Arabidopsis thaliana: one gene and its partners. The protein of the gene in region 1 interacts with the protein of each later gene in a pairwise test. Each region holds a gene or a part of one and is shown on either strand. Other genes may lie near its edges.

The links.
Region 2: the proteins of AT1G49010 (region 1) and AT3G19070 interact in a two-hybrid assay, tested with the Arabidopsis thaliana proteins (one large-scale study listed by BioGRID).
Region 3: the proteins of AT1G49010 (region 1) and MYB39 interact in a two-hybrid assay, tested with the Arabidopsis thaliana proteins (one large-scale study listed by BioGRID).
Region 4: the proteins of AT1G49010 (region 1) and INO interact in a two-hybrid assay, tested with the Arabidopsis thaliana proteins (one large-scale study listed by BioGRID).

Annotation. Positions count from the first base shown.
Region 1 is NC_003070.9:18,130,801-18,135,001, forward strand, and holds AT1G49010 (Duplicated homeodomain-like superfamily protein), read left to right. Parts: upstream 1-1,744; 5' UTR 1,745-1,913; coding exon 1,914-2,338; intron 2,339-2,458; coding exon 2,459-2,978; 3' UTR 2,979-3,217; downstream 3,218-4,201. Other genes in the region: AT1G49015 (DPP6 N-terminal domain-like protein), read left to right, coding at 3,728-3,777, 3,850-3,901, 3,931-4,201.
Region 2 is NC_003074.8:6,591,976-6,595,823, forward strand, and holds AT3G19070 (Homeodomain-like superfamily protein), read left to right. Parts: upstream 1-1,797; coding exon 1,798-1,966; intron 1,967-2,046; coding exon 2,047-2,790; intron 2,791-2,874; coding exon 2,875-3,002; downstream 3,003-3,848. Other genes in the region: AT3G19055 (uncharacterized protein), read left to right, coding at 341-432, 521-645, 727-799, 916-967.
Region 3 is NC_003075.7:9,880,757-9,885,320, reverse strand, and holds MYB39 (myb domain protein 39), read left to right. Parts: upstream 1-1,888; 5' UTR 1,889-1,952; coding exon 1,953-2,218; intron 2,219-2,553; coding exon 2,554-3,333; coding exon of another isoform or gene 3,334-3,337; exon of another isoform or gene 3,338-3,417; coding exon 3,418-3,454; 3' UTR 3,455-3,722; downstream 3,723-4,564. Other genes in the region: AT4G17780 (F-box and associated interaction domains-containing protein), read left to right, coding at 3,866-4,564.
Region 4 is NC_003070.9:8,314,870-8,320,082, reverse strand, and holds INO (Plant-specific transcription factor YABBY family protein), read right to left. Parts: upstream 2,787-5,213; 5' UTR 2,754-2,786; coding exon 2,559-2,753; intron 2,462-2,558; coding exon 2,324-2,461; intron 2,223-2,323; coding exon 2,072-2,222; intron 1,979-2,071; coding exon 1,930-1,978; intron 1,811-1,929; coding exon 1,735-1,810; intron 1,599-1,734; coding exon 1,500-1,598; intron 1,060-1,499; coding exon 979-1,059; 3' UTR 592-978; downstream 1-591. Other genes in the region: AT1G23410 (Ribosomal protein S27a / Ubiquitin family protein), read right to left, coding at 4,673-5,143. UniProt on the Arabidopsis thaliana protein: Essential for the formation and the abaxial-adaxial asymmetric growth of the ovule outer integument.

The DNA of each region.
Region 1 (4,201 bases):
ACATAAGGTAGCAACAATACACAAACTATTTATGATATCTACATATAGATATAACTATATATTCTAATATATATCAAAAGATACGGATCAAAGCGGATATTCGATTTTAAAAAAGACAATATTTGCTATTTGATTCGGTTTTTACGAATACTACATTTTCATATTTGCTTTGGTCCAAAATCTTACGGATATTCGGATTTTTTGAATCAAATCAAATCGAATACCGAATCGAAGCGGATCGAACGAATATTTTACCCAGCCCCAATAAAGGCTATAACACACCTTGAGAAAGTTCAAATTCCTCAAGACATAGAAAGTAGCTAAAATATTCAAGAAACGTCTCCAACAAAAGCCCAAATATTAACAACTGGAAATATAAAAGGTTGTCTACAAAAAGCTAGCCAGCAATTTTTCAATGAATTAAGTACCCGTTAAGTTGATTTTTTCACATATTTTGATTCATTTACACTTTTTTGTTGTTGTCTTATAGAAAGTAAAGTATCCGATTCATTTAGACTTTTAAGTGTCCATATATATATGGTGTGAGATCTCACAATTCAAAAAAAACTTATTATTGAAGTGAAAGATGGTAAGAACTTTAACAAAAAAAAAAAGAAAAAAAAAAAAAGATCGTACCTTAGTGACTTGGGTGGGGTGACATACGCAGGGAAGCCTAACAGTCAAGCTCCTTATCGCGAAAGGCCCATTACCTTCCAAAGACAAATTCTGGATCAGATGACCATTATATATACGAGCTTATTTGGAAGAAAATCTTCATTCAACAACCCATCTATTAATTTCCACCTATTATTTAAAAGAGAGATGAGAAATGACGTAAAAAAAAAAAAAAAAACGTTTTTCTAGCTCTAGAAATTTATAGATGGGTTGTTGAATGAAGATTTATCATTTTATGTATTCGATACTATGTTAAATAAATTTCTTTAATCGAGTTTGTTTTCATGCATGTTCTATTAACAAGTATGTAGATCTTGGAAAAAGAAAATATTTTGATCTTGATAAAATTCTTTTTCAAATCTCGATTAGTTTATTGTTTTTCCGAATTTTGCATTTATACTATTTATGTGATGTTCGTTTGTTAGTCGTTGGCGACCGCGACCAAATGTTGTTCGTATGGAAGTCGCTGGATATAGCGACCTGCGATTATAATTTTTGGTCGCTATTTATCTTTACGACTGATTATAAAACGCGATGTCTGAATTCAGTAAACTCGGCGACGGTATTGTTTTACATTCTTTTACATTTTAAAACTCTATTATTTACATTCTCTATTAATTATAATGATGCTCACTAATATAAAGTTTTAAAATGTGATCAATTGTTTCAAACTGCATTTGTCTTAACAAAATTCAAAAAAAAAATATAAATTTTTTGAAATAAATGTTTTATAAATATCAAAAGGTAAAGCTACACTAATCTTTTGCATTGTATTCGAGTAATATAAATCGAAATGACCAAAGTCTCTAAAGAATGAATAAGGATCAAATTTCAAAGAAAAGTGAAGAGTAATCGTCAACTACAAGAATCTTATCCTATGCGTACTCTTTCCTTATGAGTGACACAATAGAAAACAAACCCAACTGATTGATCCTTGTGAATAAGATAAAGTCCCAATCAACCTCTTACTTATCCTGCGCATATGCACTGTCCTCTATACTATCATGCGCATATACAAATGTCCATTCTTATCATGCGCATATACAAATGTCCATTCTTATCATGCGCACCTCAACTTAATACCAAACAAAAAAAAAAGTTTCACAAAACTCCAAAAGGTAAAGAATCTGACCCATTCACATATGCGTTTCAAAAACACTATCATGTCCACCACACGATTAAACCAAAGAGAAGAGAGAGAGAGAGAGAAACAGAGAAGAAAAGATTGAAGCAATCGAATGGAGAGTGTGGTGGCAACATGGAGCAGAGAAGAAGAGAAAGCATTCGAGAACGCAATTGCGTTGCATTGTGTAGAGGAAGAGATAACAGAGGATCAATGGAACAAAATGTCGTCAATGGTACCAAGCAAAGCCTTAGAAGAAGTAAAGAAACATTACCAAATCCTTTTAGAAGATGTCAAAGCAATCGAGAATGGTCAAGTTCCTTTACCTCGTTATCATCACCGCAAAGGTCTCATCGTAGATGAAGCAGCAGCAGCAGCTACTTCTCCTGCCAACAGAGACTCTCATTCCTCTGGATCATCTGAGAAGAAACCAAATCCTGGCACCTCCGGGATAAGTAGCTCCAATGGAGGAAGAAGTGGTGGCTCGAGAGCTGAGCAAGAGAGAAGAAAAGGGATTCCATGGACTGAAGAAGAGCATCGGTTTCTTCTTCTTCTCCTTCATCTCCATCATCTATCCATTGATATTATTTAGACTTAAAAGAGTGAAAAAAGATTTGGAAGATTCTTTACCTTTATTGAATACTCTGTTTTGTTTGGAAGGTTGTTTCTTTTGGGTTTGGACAAGTTTGGGAAAGGAGATTGGAGAAGCATTTCAAGGAACTTTGTGATCTCAAGAACTCCAACACAAGTTGCAAGTCATGCTCAAAAATACTTCATCAGGCTTAACTCGATGAACCGAGATAGAAGGCGGTCTAGCATTCACGACATCACCACTGTGAACAATCAAGCTCCTGCGGTTACAGGAGGAGGACAACAACCGCAAGTGGTTAAACATAGACCAGCTCAGCCACAACCACAGCCACAACCGCAACCACAACAACATCATCCCCCAACAATGGCTGGATTAGGGATGTATGGTGGTGCGCCAGTGGGACAACCGATCATCGCACCACCTGATCATATGGGTTCAGCTGTTGGAACACCTGTGATGCTTCCACCTCCAATGGGAACTCATCATCATCACCATCACCATCATCTTGGAGTTGCTCCTTATGCTGTACCGGCTTATCCGGTACCGCCATTACCGCAGCAACATCCAGCTCCGTCGACAATGCACTGACTGAAAACAATACAGTTGGTATTAAAACTGACATATATTGTACTGAAAACTTGTGTACATTCTCAAATCGAATAGCGAAACTGCGGCAAATAATAATGTACAGCAGAGGAATCTGTTTTTCCATTTCAAATCTATGATTTTCTTCTCAATATATTTCTTGAAACAAAGGCCTATAGGAGGATTTCATATTCAGACAGTAGAGAGAAAGTTGAATAGAAGTATACATAGATACAACAAACAAAACATATTAAAGAGTCATAGACCAAGTGTTGACTAGAAAATTTCACCAAAAAATACTAAAAGTAGCGTAGCATGTTACTATGTAGCTGCCAAAATTGAAGTTTTATAATCTAAGAGGTGAGATAATGGGGTCTCAAGTTTATACTTATCAGAGAAGATCTCTTGTAACTGAAAATAGGCATGATGAAACCAATTGAGCAATTTGTTTGCAAAATACATAACAAAAACGTAGAAGCACAGGCCAACCTGATCTCTTATTCCAGGGAAAAAAAGTAACCAAGTCCAAAAATATGATAAGAAGAGAAGTAAAGATTCAATAATGTAAAATTCTTACAAGAGGTTAAGAATGGTAAAAACTTTTCAAGTGCCAAACTGGTGACAGACGAGAGATTCCATAGATCATCGTTGCTTCTCTACTTCCAATCTCATTTTGATGCAAAGTATTCTTATTTGCATCCAAATTGCAGGAACCCTGGTTAAGAATCTTTGATGTGAGAACTGGGAGAATAATGGCTGGAGTAGATGGTCATGTTGTTGACAACTCATGGCCTATAATTAGGTACTTTCTTGAATTTCCTTTGAATAGAATTCTTAATACATTCATTGACATAACCTCTCTTTTTTTCCTTAGATGGGCTGGGGGAAAAGATGATAAATACTTTGCCACACTTATCAAAAACACTGTATCTGTTTATGAGACTAAGACTTTCAGACTGCTACGCAAGAAGGCGCGGCTGTGAATTTTGATGATGTTGTGGGCATGTCTTGGTCTCCTACTGAACCAATCCTTTCACTGTTGAAAGGGGATGTCAAGAACCAGCCTAAAAAGGTTGTTTTTCTGCAAATACCGGGCTATGTGGAGCTGATGCACAAGGATATTCTCAGCGTTAGCGACTGTAAGATGTACTGGCAGAGCAAAGGAAAGTATCTTGCTGTCCAAGTTACTCGACATACGTGCTCTCTGTTTGAGCTTTTCCGCTTCA
Region 2 (3,848 bases), on another chromosome or scaffold:
GTAGAGTTCAGCAGTGATCATGATCATCACTAATAGTTATGGCGTTCAATTTTCGTTTTCTCTAAATGTTTTTAAGAATTATCGAAGGAAACAAATATATACATTAAATGCTTCTTTAAAATATATAAACTCTGTTTAGAATTTCAGTATTGAAATCTAAATTATAGTTTGTTTAGATTTTACTAAAGATCCTAGTACTCCAATAAATACAATCTTTGTATTTTTAAATAACACTGATATTATTGATCTTATCCCTATCATTAAATTCAACGACAAAAGTAAACTTTGTTGCAAAAGAGAAGAAGACTATAATAGAGAGACGACAGATCTCGTTCTCAAGATGGTGCACTCGCATTACACATTTGAAATCCGACAGGCCCGTTCACATTTATTCTTAATTCGTCATCCTCGTCCAGGATACTTTAAGAAGAGGTAATTTCTAGGTTTTTAATGTGTTTTTTCCACTCTGATTTAAAATCCTTTCTTCTCTCCCAAGCTTCCCTTTGCTTTCAATCCCCAGGAGCTGGAAGGATTGTAATGAGTTCGAGCAAGAAATCTCAAAAATCGAATCATTTCCGGAAATAATATCCAGAATTGATGAATATGTTGCACAACTTAAGGAGGAGGTGGCCTATCTAAAGATAGGTATTTATTCAGAGTATCTATTTGATCATTCTTTCTATTTTATTCTCCTTTTTTATCTTTATGTGTTTCATATTCGTGTAGCCAAGGCGATTGTCGAAGAGAGGGCTAGGATTCGCTCCATAAAAAGAGCGGAGGCGCGTAAGGTTTTAGAAAAGTAAGTTTAACAATTGACGACTTTTTAGAGAAATTTTTAATGATATTGACGACTTAGATGATTAATTATGATCATTATCAACCGTTTAATGATTACTTTTACTTTAATAGTTTAAGGCAAACTCTACTCGGGGAGATGAGGAAGAGGAAGGCTGACGAGGATCTATGAGAACTGATGATCACATAAACTTCATGCTACATGCAATAAACGCGGTTAATTGGGTTTTGTTTTTTCTTCAACATCAACCCGACCTAGCTAGGGTATTATCTATATATATGGGACATCTTATCATCTGATCTGCATGTACCTATTTTTATTATTATAAATGCTTCATATATTAAGAAGAAAAGTTGTAGGCTTGTAGCAACCGATTCATAGTGGAAAATCCTTTTTTTTTTTTTTATGAAAATCAGATCGGCCGCAAAAACAACTTTCACCATGCACGAAGCTAGAAACTGCATTGATGTACCGTGTACGCTGTTTTTAATATAAAATAATTGCAGTTTTATTAGTTAGGCTACAAATATGAAATCAGGAGAAATATACCAATTAATGTACGTCCTAATTGCTTGGTATGTTACATAACCTTAAGTTGTATAATATTTATTAATTTATTTTATACTGGAGTTGATAGCTTTAAAAGTTGAGAGCAAAGTAACTTGAGACCATTTTAGAGTTAGCAAAGTAATGGAGAAAATAAGAAAAATCACACGCATGCAGCATGATGTATAATTATTGGAAACATGTATTTCCAAGAAAGTAATCAGTTCTCTGTACGCCTGAATTCGATTTTCATAAAGCTCACTTCCTTGGATTGCTAGAGCAAACATTTATATTGATATCTGCGTTAACATCATAACATGTGGGTTTTTAGTAATTCTCAACAGTATGGGTATTTTTGCTCTCTCTAGAGAGGGTAAATTTGTGATTCCATCTGCAAATTATTCCTCCTATATATATATAGAACGTGATGAATCAAATTTCTTAAGTTGCAAGCCATGACTAATCTTGATGAGTTTCTTGAAGAGCTAAGTTCTATTGAATCACATTCTCAGAAAATCGTGAAGATAGATGAGCATTTAAAAAAGTTGGATGAAGAGACGAAAGAAGATGAAGATGAAGATGCGGCGAAGATAATTCAAGATCGGAGTACCGCGAGAGAAGCAGGTTAATTTCTTCTCCTTCACCTTGTAATTTAAAGTTGTTCCTCTCTCATTCTCAAATCTTGTTGGGTCTTGGAAACGCAGAAATTGCTCTACTTATGGATCTCCGTCAGAACTTTCTTCCACCACCATCGATGTCATCCTCCTCTCTTCAACCACCGTCATCGTCAACTCTCGCACCATCGTCATCATCCTCTCTTCAACCACCCGCACCGTTGATAGACTTCTTTCGGTCATCAGTGTCATACTCTCATCAACCACCGTCATCTTCAACTCTCGCAACATCATCGTCACCGTCTCTTCAACCACCGTCGATGTCATCCTCCTCTCTTCAACCACCCGCATCTTTGAGGGAATTCTTTACGTCGTCAGTGTCATACTCTCATCAGCCATCTTCATCTTCAACTCTCGCAACATCTTCGTTCTTTCCGTCGTCAATGCCATACTCTGTTCGACCTCCCGATTCGTCTGATCGACCATCTTTGAGGGAATTCTTTCCGTCGTCACCATCATCCTCTATTCAGCCACCCGAATCATCATCATCTAAGCGAGCACGGCTTAGTAACATCTTTCCGTCACCTTTATCCTCCTCTCCGTCACCGTTTGTTAACCCGTTTCTCCGTCCGCAGGCCCAAGAACCAACAATACCAAATTTCATAAACCCAATACCACAGATCTCTCCAGGCCTACCTGCTCTATTCCCAAACCCTAACCCTAATCCTAACCCTAACCCAATCCCAAACCCAATCCGAAACCCAGACTTGGTGTGGACAAATAGGCTTCAACTAGTGTTTGATGACGCAGTTGTCAGACTTGGGGGATTATTCAGTATGCAACTTTATAATTTTTTTATTTATTTTGTTTATTCTTTCAACTCCTAACTATTTTCCTAATTTTTTTTTTTTTTTTCAGGTGCAACACCCAAAGCCATAAACGAACTAATTTCTGAAGAGGGTCTCACTGGTGACCAGATCCGTAGCCACTTACAAGTCTTGCGGGATCGTCAAAAGGCTATTGCAGACAAATTAGCCTTGGAGTGAAGAAAATATTGAAGATGAGAGATAGGATTAAATAGAAAGAGTGATAGTATAGAACGTTTCTTTTTCTTTTGTTGTTAATCTTGCATATTACAAACAATTACTATATCATAATAGAATTTATGTTAATGTTGGAGTTATTAAAAAAAAAAAAGTTAACCATAATAACATTCTTACTGTACGCATGAGTGATCATTTATCACAATCTATTAGAGCAACCCCAATGGGTGGGATGATGACAGTCCCTAAAAAACCAAAAAATAATAATATTTTAATTTTTTAACATAGTTTGACAACTAAAAAACCTACACATGTACATTTAATCTTCAGGTCCCTTATATAAGGGTTTTTGGAGCCCTTCTCTCCTGTGTCCCTTCCATTTTAATTATTTTTTTTTTTTTTATATTGTAAGGGACCTTAAGAGAGACCACCATTGCTGGTGCAGGCTGTAGAAAAATTTGTTTAGCTTCTCCTTCTTTTCTTAATTTTGACAGATAAGTCTCAGCCTCTCTCCCCCCATAAGGGTATGTCTTGACATTTAGATTCGTTGAATCAAAAGTTTTTCATGTTTGTTCATATTGTGGTCTAATCTTCTTAGGCAGATATGACCTCAGGGAAGAAAGATTATTATGAGTTGCTCAAAACTACAATCTTTAAATAAATATTTGGGTGATGAAACTTCTAGTTCTTTTTTTTTTTTGGTCTAAAATGAAACTATTACTTCTAGAAGAGAAATATCCAACTCTTTTTTTTATTCCAAGCAAATGATAACCAAAAATGCAATAAAGGTGTTAATTTTTATCATAAATATATTCTAACTATGGTCGTAACTTGTAATGGAACACCTAG
Region 3 (4,564 bases), on another chromosome or scaffold:
AAGAAAAAAGATAACCGATCTAGACTGAAAGTTTATACAATGTTATGAACTCATTTGAATTCGGAAGTCAATTTTAGCTACAGAGACCGAAAGAGTGAAGCAGCCATTGAATTACAAATTGACGACTATGTATCTGTTGCGTAAGCCGCGTAACAATAACATTACATAGAATTTTAAGGCTTGTCTTATCTATACTCGTTGACAATGTCAAATAAATATAGCATAGGAATTTTATACTATATGGTGCTACTAATTACATGGAACCCTTAATATATACGACTGTTTAAATAGTCAACGTGATAAATAGAGAGTTGGTAAGTGTTTGGTTTTAATTTGACAATGTGAAACAAGCCTGAACATTGACCCTTTAAACCATAACAGTAATTTAACGGTAAAAAAATAGTAATTAAGTATGTAAACAAGATCTTCCGTGAGAGTGAAATTAAACCTCATTATTTAAATTATACTAGTAAACATTTTCTCCAACCGTAGGAAATTTCGTTTTATGTTTTTTTTCTAATTTGTCGTGATCCTTCTCATTCCTTTGAAGACAACAAGATTCTATTATGAAAGATTTTTTCAAAGATCCAATAGTATAATACAACGTAATATATAATACCAACTTTATAGTTACACCTTCTAATAAAATCCACTTACTCGTTTATGTGTTCCTCACGCTATCGACTTAATGTTTGGAACCCGCGAGAGAAGTTCTTTAATTAAATTAGTCAATCGAAAAAAGCTATCCATTTCCTTTATCAAAGTAAATCAATTCGAAAATCTCGTATTAACTTGATCATCCAAATCCATATGTATATTTTCGAATAATATAAAACAGAAATTGAGATAACCTATACTAAAGAGAGTTTCACGTAAAAAATTTATATTTTCACGTAACAAAAAATTACAAAACAATTAAACAAAAAACAAATGATAATAGCATAGGTAATTTTTTGTGACTTGAAATTCAGAACGTATGGTAGGCACAAACGACGGTTTGGTAACAATAAGGAGAATAATAATAATCTTCGTTTGAATTCAAATAGAGGAAGAAGAAGCGAAAGGGTAGGCTTTGATCAACCATGAGACATTGAAGCAGGTAGAGATAATTCTTTGAATGCGGTGGAAGCAATCACATAATGATAAATGCAAGATTCCAATTTTGATGAACTTTGCAATGAGAACATAATATTGCTTTTCAATTAAATATTAGTTAAATATACCCTTCAAGAAAAGTAGTTAACAAGTTTAATTTATAATCATGCATTTATGCGAAATTCTTATTTGTAGGTTTTAATCTAAATAGAGAAATATACACATATATAGGAAATATTCAAAAATGATCACATGCATGTTTAATTTTTGAAAAATGTGGCTTTCTTTTATAACATAATTTCAATAAGATTAGTTTGAATTGCAGATTATGAAATAGTATATAATTTGTGATTGTTTTACAAGTAAAAGAGCGTAAGAAATTTGGTCCCAAAAAAAAAAGATTTTAGTAGGGAAATATCAACATTTTATTCTAACATAGCTAGGGCAAATATTTTATACATCTAACCCACAATAACAAAATCCATTAATGCATTAACAATTATTCGTATTCTTTTATATAAAAATTATTTGTTTGAACATCATCCCCACGAATTACTCTTCGAAGTTCGAACGCCATGACACATATCATATTATCAGTACCTAATCTTGATTTTGTTATAACTATTTTGGTTATTTAACTGATTTATTGAATGACTCATATATTGTAGACTTATGACACACTATGAAAAATAATATTTACACCAAATTCTGACGAATGCATACACAACTTTACTTTAGTTATGTCATGACTGCTTTTCACATCTATATATACATACAAACCTAATCGTAGGGAGCGACGAAACGAAGATCATATCTTCAAAAACCTCTGATAAGTTTTGGTTCTTGATATAAACAAAATGGGAAGATCACCGTGTTGCGATCAAGACAAAGGCGTGAAGAAAGGACCGTGGCTGCCAGAAGAAGATGATAAGCTCACTGCTTATATAAACGAGAATGGTTATGGGAATTGGCGGTCGCTTCCTAAGCTCGCTGGACTTAACCGCTGTGGCAAGAGCTGTCGGCTCCGGTGGATGAATTATCTCCGGCCTGATATCCGGAGAGGCAAATTTTCCGATGGAGAAGAGAGTACTATCGTTAGACTCCATGCCCTCCTTGGCAACAAGTAAGACTATTTTTTTTTCGTTAAAGCTTTTATGCTATTTTGTTAGCACTAAATGATTTAGGTCTCGCTTGTTTCAGACGTAATTATGTGTTCCTGTTTACATGTTTTTTTCATAATTTTAAAATATAAACCATTTTCAGTTCTTTTAAAATTAATATAAAGTGCAAAAACAAATTTACGTATGGATACCATTGCATAGTTTATTATTGCTATTATAGAATTCACATCCTCAAGACTATAGTCTAAACTTTAGTTTATAATTCTCTAACCATACAAAAGGTTAAGTTTTCGTTGGTTCATTTTACTAACGTTTGAGTCGAATTTTTACCATACAGATGGTCGAAAATTGCGGGTCATCTTCCAGGAAGAACAGATAATGAAATTAAAAACTATTGGAACACTCATATGAGGAAGAAGTTATTGCAAATGGGGATTGATCCAGTGACGCACGAGCCAAGAACCAACGATCTTAGCCCTATCCTCGATGTTTCTCAAATGCTCGCGGCAGCAATCAACAATGGCCAATTTGGTAACAATAACCTCCTCAACAATAACACCGCTTTGGAAGATATTCTTAAACTCCAATTGATCCATAAAATGCTTCAAATCATAACCCCCAAAGCCATACCAAACATCAGTAGCTTCAAGACCAATTTACTGAATCCTAAACCAGAACCGGTAGTCAATAGCTTCAATACCAATTCAGTGAATCCTAAACCGGATCCCCCGGCTGGTCTTTTCATAAACCAAAGTGGAATCACTCCTGAGGCCGCCTCGGATTTCATTCCATCTTATGAAAATGTTTGGGATGGTTTTGAAGATAACCAGCTTCCTGGTTTGGTTACGGTTTCTCAAGAGAGTTTAAATACAGCAAAACCGGGTACCAGTACGACCACCAAGGTAAATGATCATATCAGAACCGGTATGATGCCGTGTTACTATGGTGATCAACTACTAGAAACCCCATCTACTGGTTCGGTATCGGTCTCTCCCGAGACAACCAGTTTGAACCATCCCAGTACAGCTCAACACTCATCCGGTTCAGATTTCCTAGAGGACTGGGAGAAGTTTCTTGATGATGAAACAAGTGATTCTTGCTGGAAAAGTTTCTTAGAGTAAGATCTATCTCCGCATTGATTAACATAGTATATGATTTATATTTATGGTTTATTAACAGAATTGTTTTATCTAATCTGCAGCTTAACGTCACCCACATCGTCACCTGTCCCATGGTAGAACTGGATTTTGTTCGGGTCGTATACTCATAGTTTTAAAGACAATACATACACAAAGATATTCGATTAATACTCTTAATTTTGTTTGTTATTAAATATTGATTTAAAGTTTGTATATTTTCTTGTAAAGGAATTCTTATTTGTAATTTGTTCTTATTTGGTTTGGTTGTTGTGTAAAGAAACACATTGTAATCACCATTCTATTATTGCCCATTTAATAACAATATTTTGGATAAATATCTACGAGCAGTCTAATTTATACAATCAAACAACTCTATGGAAACATAACTTGATTCACAAGTTTAATAAAAATTCACCTATTTGCCAATAAGGAAATATATTAAAATGTCAATCTCTCGATGTTTCTAACAGAAAGATTGACAAAAAATCAAAAAACAAACAGTCACCAAGAATGGAGGAAGAAGAGAAAAACCCTAGTTCGATCTACATAGTTGCCGATCTTCTAGAAGATATATTCCTTCGACTTCCCTTGAAATCCATTCTCATATCGAAAAGCGTCTCAAAACGATGGAGATCAATTCTTGAGTCGAAGACGTTCGTGGAGAGACGAATGAGTCTTCAAAAGAAGCGCAAAATCCTGGCTGCTTACAACTGCAAATGCGGCTGGGAGCCTAGGCTCCTCCCCGGGTCGTCGCAGTGCAAAGGGAACGAAGAGATCGTCTATCTGCACTGCAACGCCGCACAACCCTCGTTTACTTGCGACGGTTTGGTCTGCATTCTCGAACCACGTTGGATAGACGTTTTGAACCCCTGGACAAGGCAACTCCGGCGATACGGATTCGGATTTGGAACCATATTTGGAGTAGGTTCGGCTTTCTCTCCAAGACATTGGGCAATGGGATTTGGTAAAGATAAAGTTACCGGAAGCTATAAAGTAGTGAAGATGTGTTTAATATCTTTCAGTGAAATTTGTGCACGTGATCCTGAGGTGGAGTATAGTGTTCTTGATGTCGAAACTGGTGAATGGCGGATGTTGAGTCCACCTCCTTATAAGGTCTTTGAGGTAAGAAAATCGGAGTGTGCGAATGGATCGATCTACTGGTTACACAAACCTACTGAGAGGGCTTGGACAATACTAGCCTTGGATCTT
Region 4 (5,213 bases), 9.8 Mb from region 1:
CATCTGTTCATTGGCTGGTTTCCTTCGAGGCGCTAAACAATCATATTCTTTAATTCGCCGATTCCGGGAGTGTAGGTGTGACTTGTCGTCTTTGGCCTAGTTCTTCTCGCCGGTATGGATTCCTTGGAACTCTTCTATGTAAGGTAGTCTTCATCGTAATAGGTGGCACCGCTGTCCGTTTGGTTGGGAGTTCCTTGTCTCCTACGGAGTGGCTTGTTGTAAAGCTCTGCCTTTCCTTTGTCTGGTAATGTGGTTGACGAGATGTTGTGTTTAAAATTTTGGTTGTTTTGGTCTGCTTCTTTGTTTCAGTTTCGCAACTTTGCTTTGTTTGTAAGGTTTGTTTTGCCTTGTTGTCTCCCTTTCCTTTGGGTTTTGCTTCCAAGACTATCCTTTTAATCGTCGGCTTAGTTTTCTGGTGTTACTTGTTAACCGCCGGCTTTATATTTCACTTTTGTATTTCACCGGAATCTCTATAATAAATTTTCAGACGACAAAAAAAAAAAGTAACTTAGAAAGGTCAAATGTCAAAACAAAAAGTGTTTTTTTTTTAGTAAGTGTTTTTCTCCATCGTACGTACAAAAGCATTGAGCGCGCGAAGTCAAGAAGGATCTTTATTATGATAGGTTAACAAAGATTCTTACTAAAGTACTGTTTCATGGAATGTTAAAACATTCATGGAATAAGAGTAGTCATGAATGCAAAAGTAGAATTTTTTTTATAGAGTCAATGCATGTCTCTTCAAATTAAGTTCAAAGTTGACAAGTACTACGAAATTACTGAACAAACTCGCTCATTCCCAAGGACTCTTCTCGAACACACACAAATCCTACTTCCGTTTCAGATTCTTCTTCTCTCTATCTCTCTCCAACAACAGAAACCCTAAACCAACATAATCAAACCCTAGAAGAAAAGAGTCACCATCACATGTCATACGCCATTATTTATTTTTTTGTTAAATTTTCATATCCCAAATTGTTATTACTCAAATGGAGATTTTCCCCAAATGGAATGCCTCTGAGCCTTTCTCTCTCGGAACCCATTATTGCTTTCTTCATGGTCCTGCATCACAAACATTTCAACAATTATTTGGTATATTAATTGAAAACTATACATATTCAGCTTCAATGTTTTAAATTAGTTGAATGGGTTTCTATAAAAGTAAACTGTGTGCAGTGTAAGCTTCAATACTATAAAAGGGTTTAGGTCATAAATTTCACACATTGTAGTAGTTGAAGATCAATGATATATTCTCACAATCTCACTTACCCTTCTCCTTGCTTTCACTCTAATAATTAGTAAATGATTTCTCTTTATATAATTAGTCTAGCTAGGGTTCTGAAATTTTGACTGAGAGCGATGCTATTTGGATCTAGTTAATGCTTTAATTATTTGGTTTGCTTTGGAAAATGACACTTGTTGTGGAGTTTACTTGTCAAGAATATGGTAATTGATTTTGAAGCGAAAGTGATTAAAAAATATAAATGGTTGCTGAGGATTACCTCAAAAACATTGCATGGTAGTATCGCATTGTTATCTTCCTCACAAAAACATTGATCTGAAGCAGCTCTCTTGTTGTGAGCTGGAGGAAAATGGGCCCACTTCGCCATCCCCAAATCAAAAAATTGAAATCATAAAATGTTATTAGCTAACTCGATCTGTCAATTAAGCTAACAAAAAGATGAAAACTATATTAGGGTTTTCTTTTAAATCTTAAGACTAATTAAGCTTAAGTACATTTTTGGCAGCTAAGCTGAAAGCTTCCTTGTGAGCCATGCTTGGATTCTGAGCCTTTAACCTCCTGATCTCTTCCCTGCTCCAATACAACCCCCAAAGAAGAACCATTTTACAAACTCAAAACCTTAAGTGGTTAAATTTGTAAGAATATATATAATATACATACACATGTAATGTGTTGAATTTATTTCTTACTTGATGAAGCAATTGTAAGCTGAAGGAGCTCTTTGTCGCTTCTCAGGTGCTATATATATACAAACTCAAAACATAATTAGACGACTGATGAAAGGAGAAATCGCAAAACTAAAGTTTAAGTTGAATTTATACTCAAACGTACGTTTATTGACAACTTGGTAAACACGAGACACATCTTCATCTTCATTGTCTGAAGATGAAACCAAAGTCGTTGGACTGTTCTCCTTCTCCTGATTCACCTTCCATGCTTCTTCTTCCACACCATCTGTAGCTGCAACCTCCTCTTTCCCGGTCTGCACATATATTTACATATAATCAAAAGTAAGTATATATATATATATATTGGTCATATTTAGATGGTGTGTGTTTGTCTATGTATAGATGTTATGGAAACCTCATCAAGATGGGAGAGAGAAGCAAGGAGATGGAGAGGAATGAAGGAAGCCTTCATCAAATTGACAGAGAGAAGGCTTGTGCAATGCCCACATCTCACAGTCACCACCATTGACAAGCTTGTAAACGGTACACTCACCTGCAACACATTTACACTCATTAAACTCATGATCATATATATAAAGAGAGGAAGGGAGAAAGGAAGGGAGAGAATAAGAGAAGAAGTTAAGGTATACCAGCAAAATAGTGGTGCAAAAACCACACTGGACATGGCAAATCTGCCCCGGCAGATCAAATAGATGGTTGAGTGTTGTCGTCATGTTGGGGAGCTTTGTCATAGAGAGTGTGTGTGTACGATGAATGATAGGAGATATATGTGTGTGTGTGTGTGTGTATATATAGACAGAGAGATAGGTTTTGTTAATATTCATTAATGCAAATATGTAATTATATTTATATCTTTCATGTGGAATGCTTTGGTTATATGCTAAAATGCACAATACAATTCAACTTATGTACGTCTCTATCTCACTTGTAATAATTGGAATCTTCATAGTCTCTATGAGCTGTAAGCAGTAAATGATTCTCATTCTTTCTATTAATCACATTCCTAACTCCTTAATATTCAAACTACATTTTCTTCTCTAAAATAAAATAAAATAAAATGATGTATATAATACTTTTGTTGATGATGGAGTTTAATTAAGAATTTTCGTTATACAAAAGCATTGTTATAAGATTTTTATGTTATGTCACACTCACAAAATATATATGACAAATGATACATAACGTTTGAGCGTTTACCATTAGAGGAGACATTTTTTGTTGTCAAAACAATTTAAAACACTTAATAACCTATAAACAGAAAATATATAAGCTCCCTTCAAAAACCATTTCAGGATTTTTCTGATAAATAAGCATACAAGATAATATGTGTTATTGTAAGATAACACTAGGTTAAACAAAAAAATAACAAGAGATAAAAATCGATGGTAAAGAGTATGAGTATTAAAAATGAACATGTGAAAATGGAAAGGCACGTTGCACAAGAGGAGATAGATAGACATCGAAGAGAGCTGGGGTTAATAAATGATGTGATGTGGTGGTGTGGTTTGGTTTGCAAGTTAGAAAGAAAGAAAAAAACAAGTGAGGTTGAGAAAGAAATGCCTCTTTGTCTCATGTGTAGTTGTCTCTTTAAATGGGATTTAATGAATCTCTCACAAAACTCAACAGTCTTTTGGAGTTTTGGTTGAAGTGAGACTGAAAATGAAAGTGCAGTGAGTTGAGACTAGTGCGGGTGTTTCTAGGAGACTCATCACTTTTAGTAACTCGGAATCTTAGGATTTTGTCTTTCTTCTCTCACATTTTTGCTAACTGTTTCTTGACCATTTTACCCAAACTCTTCTCTCTCTCTCTCTCTCTATTTCTTCAAGTTTCAGTGCTTTCTCTCTGTGTCATGTTATTTCTACTGTCCCTCTCTTTATTGCTTTCTCTCTCTCTCACTTACTCTCATCTCCTATTTTGTGTTCAACCACAAGAAAAAGACTAAACATAATACTAATATTTACTCAATTTCCTACACATTTGTAATTTTTGTGTGGGTGGAATCCAATGCAATGACCCAACCCCGGAGTGAACAAGTTTCGACCCATTTTGAGAGATCACATAATTTACCGACCCATTAATAAGTTTCGATCCATTTTCATAAGCCTATTGATGAGTAATTGAGTAGGAGGTACACATTTGTGATTTGAGAGATTAGAGGTTAAAATTATACATTGTAATCATAGTTATGGCTTCTGGTTTAACAGTCTTTTACTCCATATATACTGATATACATCTCATTTCTAGTCTCAAACTTTTACATGACAGCTTATAGATTGGTCAAATCTCACTGTTAACATAAATAGAAGCTGTGAAATGACGATAAAATGTGCAAAGACAAACGCACGTTAATGTCAAACACATAATCAATATCTGAGAGAATTTAAACTTATCTTAGCAAACAAGTTATCAGAGCCAACAACAACAAAACTTCAAGACATTGGTGTAAGAATATGATCAGAATCAACATAATGGCTAAATTTTGCCTTGCACTAATCCAGGTTAAAACTAAAACAATGTCGCAAAGAATTGTTCCAACACAACGTCCTAATTCTACAGCCACAATTCAACATTTCCACATCAGTCAAAGCATAATGAAACAAAAAAAAAATTGATCAAATTTCTAATCAAAGATAATATAATGTATTATGCAACAATTAAACCATCCCTCAATAGTATAAAACCATCTCAAAATATCTGAATTAAAAAAAAAACAATCTAAATTCCAAAAGCAAAAAGACATAACCTACTCTTCATCAGCCTTCTTGAACACGTAAGTAGTTCCACATTTCCCACAATAATGCCTATCGAAATGACTCGCCATGAAAGTTCCAGGACCACAACTAACAGAAGGACACTCTTTCTTCAACCTCTGAACTTTCCCACTTCCATCAACCTTGTAAAACTGCAGAACTGCTAGCTTCACTTTCTTGTGCGTATGCTTAATCTTCTTAGGTTTCGTGTACGTCTTCTTCTTCCTCTTCTTCGCACCTCCTCTCAGACGTAGAACCAAATGAAGCGTCGACTCTTTCTGGATGTTGTAATCAGCTAGTGTTCTTCCATCTTCCAATTGTTTTCCGGCGAAGATCAACCGTTGCTGATCCGGTGGGATTCCTTCCTTGTCTTGGATCTTCGCTTTCACATTGTCGATTGTGTCTGATGATTCTACCTCTAAGGTTATTGTCTTCCCCGTTAGGGTTTTCACGAAGATCTGCATTTTCTTGTTTGAGAAAAAACGCAGAGAGTGAAAACAATAGCTTTTATATCAAGGAAATTAGGGTTACAAG